2 linked regions of the Arabidopsis thaliana genome follow. The protein of the gene in region 1 interacts with the protein of each later gene in a pairwise test. Each region holds a gene or a part of one and is shown on either strand. Other genes may lie near its edges.

The links.
Region 2: the proteins of CPL1 (region 1) and AT3G54290 interact in a two-hybrid assay, tested with the Arabidopsis thaliana proteins (one study listed by BioGRID).

Annotation. Positions count from the first base shown.
Region 1 is NC_003075.7:11,508,898-11,512,653, forward strand, and holds the start of CPL1 (C-terminal domain phosphatase-like 1), read left to right. Parts: upstream 1-2,091; 5' UTR 2,092-2,613; coding exon 2,614-2,931; intron 2,932-3,169; coding exon 3,170-3,646; intron 3,647-3,756. Other genes in the region: AT4G21660 (proline-rich spliceosome-associated (PSP) family protein), read right to left, coding at 1-37, 134-196, 282-533, 654-875. UniProt on the Arabidopsis thaliana protein: Processively dephosphorylates 'Ser-5' but not 'Ser-2' of the heptad repeats YSPTSPS in the C-terminal domain of the largest RNA polymerase II subunit (RPB1). This promotes the activity of RNA polymerase II.
Region 2 is NC_003074.8:20,104,584-20,108,339, forward strand, and holds the start of AT3G54290 (hemerythrin HHE cation-binding domain protein), read right to left. Parts: upstream 1,633-3,756; 5' UTR 1,263-1,632; coding exon 617-1,262; intron 527-616; coding exon 378-526; intron 298-377; coding exon 40-297; 3' UTR 1-39.

The sequences.
Region 1 (3,756 bases):
CTAACAGCTTTGGATCTGCTGAAGTCGCGTCCCAGACCTGAAAATTGTAAAACAGAACTTATGAATATACAATAGATATCTACACAACGAGATAAACCTTGGTACTATGAACACAATAGAGAAGCATCCATACCTCAACAACATCAGGCCTAGCGGAAACCTGCTTCAGCTCAGCAATCTTCATTCTCCGTTGAAGCTGAGGAAACAGAAATTCAGAATATTCAGAATCTAAAGAATGCAATAAAACAAATTGAGAGGTAATAATAAGGTTTGAGCTATACCTTTTTCTTCTTATTAGAGATGCCTTTCTCTTTGTTCTGATTATCCTGCTCGTCGTCGTCTGAATCAGAATCAGAGTTAACCTTCTTTTTGACATCTTCTTTCTCCTCAGACTCATCTTTCGTACCGTCTTCTTCAGAGGCAAGAGGTTCGCGGAAGTTGAACTTCTCGAAGATTTCCTTAAACTCATCGTTAAAACCATCTTCAAATTCAGCTTGCTCTGGAACATACTCTATCACAATCTGCTCACAAACCTATCAAAGAGAAACATATACCAAAAATCATCAGCAAACGATAAACAATCACAAACCCTAAGAAAAACCCTAGAACACCTCTCCATGAATCGAGTACGAGAAGATGAGCACAAAGTTAACCTGTGGCTGGGGATCTGTATTCTCTTTGGATTCAGAAGCAGCAGAAACGTCCGATGCATCTACATCGGCTTGGGATGCTTTGTTGTTCTTCTTCTGCTTCCGTCTGCGGCGGCGACGGTCAATCTCACGAGATTTCTTAGAGGAAGCGGAGGTGTTTCCGTTGGAGACATCACCGTTAGAAACGACGCTATGAACGAGTGCGACGGTTGAATCGGCGGTCATATTCGGTGTTCTCTCTGAATCGGTGATGTGAAAAGAGAGATTGAGAGGAGAAGGAAGAACGACGGAAATCGAGGATATACGTATATGAACAAGAGTCGGTTTGCTGAAATTCTCTCTGATTCTATTTCCGGTTTGGCATAAGGCCCATATAAGTAGAAGACGAATATATCTGCCAATAGGCCCAACACTTTATATTTTTCTTCGAGTGTAAGAATTGTTTTGTAGAAGACCATCTACTAGTAACTAATAGAAAATTTCAAAGGAAATGTATGGAACAATATTCAAACACTACTATAAATGTTGGCACGAGTTAACTCTACATTATTCGTAAAAATGTTCTATTGAACTTTTAAAATTATAAAATTACAGTTTACACAATGTCTTGAAATTTTGAAGAAAGTTATAAGTATCAAAATTGTATATATGTGGGTATTTGAGATTTAAATAAAATTCTCTGACTAACAACAAAACTTTTAATAAAATTTAAATGTTTTAGTTTATTATTCGTAAAAATTTAGTTTTTACATGAATTGAGGTAATTTTTATTCACTTTGAGATTTTATTAATGTGAGCACGACTCCCGGTGTATGTTATCGGTTGTTTATTATGCAATTAGAACAATATACATTGTGCCTTTTTAGTTTCAAAATTGTTTTCATAAGACATTAGGAAAGAACACGGAAAAAAAAGACATTAGGAAAGAATTTTGTAACGGCTTTTGTACGTAACGGTTATTTTTAAACAAGGAAAAAAATACTGTCTATAAAAAAAAATTATCTTTACGTAGTTGTGTATTTTAGAAAACAAAATAAATCATTTTTTATTTACTAAACTATTATTTTATAAGGAAAAGATTGAAAAGAGTAGGGGAAAGATATATGTGAAAAAATATTCATGCTTGGTAGATAAAAAATATTTCACAAATAAAGAGACAAGTATATGTCAAAAATATCATGTCTTTTGAATAAATAATCTTCTAAAAAAAAAGAATTAGATGAACTATAAATATCTTGTGGTATATGAATCCTTGACACTGTAAAAATCAAAACATGAGATCAGAAACACAAGTATAAAAGTACATTACAAGTACGGTATGAATCGAAAAAAAAACAGAATTTGACAGGTTTTGAGCTGATAAAAACTATTTCAGGCTTTTATTAATTTTTAAAAATAGTATTAATTGTTTTTAAAATAAGACATAAATAAAAAAAAGAACGGTTAAAGAAAATGAAGGGGCCCTTCGTGTTTTGTTTTCCCTTAAAAAAACCAAGGACAAAGGCATAATGCCGTATTCACAATCTTGACTCTTCGTTATCTGGATCTAGGGTTTCTCTCGATTTTTAGAACGCCACAAAACCTAATAAACTTTTCCCAGATACACAAACAAACTCATCATCAACCAAGGAAGAAGAAAGAAACTAGGGTTTTTTTTTGTGGATTCATCATCGGTATTTTACAGATCTATATTCAAAGGGAACAAAATCTTAAGGAACAAACACTAAATTTTCATTCTTTCTCTTATTTACCCATTTATCAAAAATCTTCCTTTTGTTTTCCTGATTCTTGCTAAAGAAAAAAACTCGGATCCAATTCATAAACTAGTGTGGACTGGTGATCAATCTATCAATTCTGGCCAAGGGACAACAAAAAGTTTAGATTTTGATGAACCAATTTTGAGATGAGACAATAGACATCCATTGATCTGTAAACTTTAAGAAGGAGAAGGAGAAAAGAAAGTATGTATAGTAATAATAGAGTAGAAGTGTTTCATGGTGATGGAAGACTTGGAGAATTGGAGATATACCCTTCAAGGGAATTGAATCAGCAACAAGATGATGTGATGAAGCAGAGGAAGAAGAAACAGAGGGAAGTAATGGAGCTAGCCAAGATGGGAATCAGAATAAGCCACTTTTCTCAATCTGGCGAGAGGTGTCCTCCTCTTGCAATACTTACTACAATTTCATCTTGTGGCCTTTGTTTCAAATTAGAAGCTTCACCTTCTCCAGCTCAGGAGTCACTCAGTTTATTCTACTCGTCCTGTCTCAGGGACAACAAGGTATCTAAACCTTACGAACCTTTAAGCCTTACTCAGACTTAGATTTTATCAACTAAAACTCAAAAACACTTAATGATAAATAGGATTTTGTGTCATTATTTAACTTCCTTAATGTCAGAGCTGCATCAAGTTTGGGGCTTTAGAAACTTTTAGTAGAGTGGGGGTTTGAATCTTGTGTTGTTTGTTATGTTACAAATTGTCCTCATATTTGTGAGTTTTGGATTTTTGCTTCTTGCAGACAGCAGTAATGCTCTTGGGTGGAGAAGAGCTCCATTTGGTTGCTATGTACTCGGAAAATATCAAGAATGACCGTCCTTGTTTCTGGGCATTTAGTGTTGCTCCTGGAATTTACGATTCCTGTCTTGTTATGTTGAATCTTAGATGTCTGGGTATTGTCTTTGATCTTGATGAAACCCTTGTAGTGGCGAATACCATGCGCTCATTTGAGGATAAGATTGACGGGTTTCAGCGGAGAATAAACAACGAGATGGACCCTCAACGCCTTGCCGTTATAGTGGCTGAGATGAAGCGTTATCAAGATGACAAAAATCTATTGAAGCAATATATTGAAAGTGACCAGGTTGTTGAAAACGGGGAGGTGATAAAGGTGCAATCTGAAATTGTTCCTGCCTTGTCTGACAACCATCAGCCTCTTGTTCGCCCTCTGATAAGGTTGCAAGAGAAGAATATTATTCTGACTCGCATTAACCCAATGGTATGCAAGTCTTGAATCAGTATATGTCTGTTAGTTTCTGTTCCCCGTATACATATATGTTTAGTGCTTACTACACATTTAAAAGACAATAAGTGGTGGTGTGCTGTGTG
Region 2 (3,756 bases), on another chromosome or scaffold:
ACAACAGTTTTTCACAAAGTGAGCCTAAAAAGGATAAAATCAGTCAACAACATCAGAGCAGAGAAAAGATGAGATAAGATTTGGATCACCAAATGTCATGAGCAAGTCAATATACTGCATAGCTTCTTGTGGAGTGAGACCTTCTAGTAGGAAATCAAACGAGTTAGAATGAGTCCCACTCATAACTTCTAAGCTTTGATTCATCAATTTCTTCTGCTTCTCTTTCCCCATTTCTGCAGCTTCCACCATTGGCAATAAATCTTTCTCTTCCTCTTCAAAATGTGTTTTACACATCATCTATGTTCAAAAACAAAAACCTCAATCATTACAAAAACAGACAAAAGTGAAGCTTTTTGTTATTGTTATTTTAACTTTACCTGCAATGATTTGAAACGAGAAGCAAGACTAAAGAGAGCTTCTGAACAAATCCCAGAATCCAAAACTCCAATAGATTTGATATCTTCTTTGATACCATTCATCATTGGTAATTCTCTCCCATGTTCTTCATTTGCACTTTTACACATCCCTACACACAAATTCACAGAAATCAAAATTTCAACATTTGACAACAATAATCAAATTCATTCCCTAAACCTAAACAATTCTCTTTAATTACCTCGATCAACAGATTCAAGAACAGGGAACAAGATTCTCTCTTCCATTTGAGCATGTTCGAGCATAAGCTCCTGTAAATGAGTATAACTCTTTGCAAATTTCCTAATCTCCATCTTCGGTGTTCCCACAGACGGATCCACCGCTTTTTTACCTCCACGCGCCGCCAGATCCTCCGACCATCTCAACATCCTCTCCATATGCCACAACATACTCCTATGCTGAAGCCAAATCATCTTCACTATCAATGGAGTCGCTTCGTCGAAGCCTTCCAGATTAAACTTCCAAATCATCAAACGCGGCTCTGGGAACTTATCCTCGATGTAACGGAGAAGAACCTCTCGAGAACCTGATACAGTCTCCGATCCGACTTGAATCGTCGGTTTTTGGTCTTCCGATGGAACGAAACGGAGCGGAACTTTCTTGTGGAGAAGAGCGAAACGGAGATACGACGTCACTAGACTGTTAGGTGGTCCGTATAATCTCACTGTTGCGGTGAAGCTCACCGTCGATGTTTCTGTTTTCGCGGTGGGGATTCGTTGGGTTGGTGGTGCGGTGGCGGCGGCGGAAGGAGGAGGAGGTTTGACGACGAGGTCAAAGGGAGAGATCTCAGCCGTGGATTTAGTTGAGCTGGAGAAGCAGGTTCCCATATTTGGTGAAGAAAACGTGAGAAACGAAATCTAGAATCTCAGAGAGAGAGAGAAGAAGAAGATGAAGAAGAAGTTGGAGTGAATTGCAAGAAATTGGAGTTGGAGAAGATTGAGAGATTAGAGGCGCGTTTGTTGAGAGGAGAGAAAAAGGTATCACGCCATTATCATATTGCCAAAAGCTTTAGGAACTTTGAGAGACTTCAGTATTTTTCTTTCTCACCATTTAAGTGTTTCCCATAATTCAATTCTTAATAATGAATATTTTTCTTTGTTCCTCAAAAAAAATATTAAAGGAGATTTCTGACTCTTTGGAACCTACTTTGCTGTATCACTGGTCAAGTCATAGTCGTCATGAGTCTACACAATTATTTGTGTGATCTAACAATCTAAAACATGTTTGATTAGCTTCTTAAAAAAAACTACAATATGTAGTACTAATTTTAGATAAAAATACTTCCGACTTTTAATGTTGAATTGTGTACTGTACACTTTATGAGAATTTGAGGATAAGAGGAAGAAATCAAATGTTTTCTTTTATGGTTGTGATTTTTTTTGAGTGTTTTGTTTATGCCACCGATTTTTTCTACAAAAAGTGGATGAAGAGATCTCTGTGTAATTAATTCAAAGTGGCATCTTGTATATCAATTATCTATCAATTTTAGAGGATTCTCTATAGTTATTGCGAGATACACCGCATATGTGTAATGTCTTTGTTGAAGAAGATCTTCTCTATATATAAATCCAAAATAAAATTCAATGGTAATTAGGAAACCAGTTCTTGTTTATTTCGAAATCAATGGTAATTAGGATTCGGTTTCTTTTGGTATATTTTATAGATCTATCAAGCCATCGTAGAAATCACTCTTGGCCTCGGTTAAAATAAAAATATACATGTTTCGGGCAACCAAAAACCTTTAATGTATTTTGACAAAATGGTTTTAAGTAATACGCAACTATATTTTTGCTAATGGTGACTTGCGGTTCAACTGCGGATAAAGTGTGGTACGGTTCTAAACGAAAATATATACATATACACATATATATAGATATTTTCGTTACTATTTGAACCGTATCACACTATGCGGTTTGGTCACCATTTGGTGCAACCCTTTATGGTTAATGAACCTCATAATTTTTACTTAACATTAGCCATTTCTCCTTTTTCATGAATTGAAATTCACTTTTCACTTTACCTGAAAGAATTTCATTAATGATAGGATATCTTGTCATATACAGTACATCAATATTCAAAGCATCGAGATATGGAAGTTTTCAACAGTTATAACTTAAAACTCTTTCTTATGATCACTCTCTTGTCTCATCAGGGTCCTTACACACAACTTTTTTTTTCTTATTGAACCTATCTCTGATAGTTTATATATTCAAGTTTGATTGTCATCTGGAGATTTATCAATTATTGGATAGAATTCCTATTACTATCAACTAATCTACTCGCAGGCCCGTGCCAGCCATTTTGGGATGCCACTAGAAAGTTAATATGATCATTTAAGATTTAGCTAAAGTTTGGAAAACTGGAACACCAAAAGAGACATTCAACATTTACTACTATGGAGAGTAAACGCTCTTTACTCCAAAATCATCTTTCAGCTTATTTTGCTTTAGTTGTACATGAAACCTATAAACCATGCAGATGTATGGATCTCTAAATCGGGATCTCTAAATCGAATTTCATGGATTATGTGGTATATTTGAAAATACGTATGTATTTTATCTTTGGTTGCTTATGTTTGTTATCAATAAGGTCCCATGTTTACACTTGAATCATTCCTATATTGAATATTTAAAATCCATAACATGATTTGCTTTTTAGAAAATTGATTGGCTATAAATTCTCACCATCCTCAGTCATAGTAAAAACGAAGCCAACCATATATGCTTATTCATATCTCCCTTTATATCTGTAGACAATAGACAGAGAAGTTGATGTGGGGATAATTGAAAAGGTACGAAATATCCCTTTATGAAATTATTTCATATCCGCTTTATCAAACGAGAAACGGTGTAAAAAAACAACTAGCAGACATTACTTTGTTACCTTTTTTGTTCCTCCCATGTGATTTGCCCTACTTAACCTCACCTTTACGCTTCACCTTTTGCTCTTTGCTTCATCAGCCACAGAGTTTAAAAGCCGTAACATTCTATTTCGCTTTTGGGTCATCATTGTTTGCTTCTTCTTTTTTTCTCTGTAAAAACTTTATACAGTACCTACAATTTTCTTGTTCTTTTTTCTTAATATCAGTCGAAGCCTAAATGACATAACCGCATACACTACACACATGTATCTTGGAGATCACCATAAAGAAAATTGCTGATCGCATAGAATAGAACAGACACGGCAACTTGAGAACAAAAACATTTTTTTTATATATATAGCATCACAGCATGTGGGAGATGATGATGATATGATGATATGTTATTATAAGTTCTTCCATGTACAAACATGAGCATGCAATTTAAGTGTTAAAACAGATAC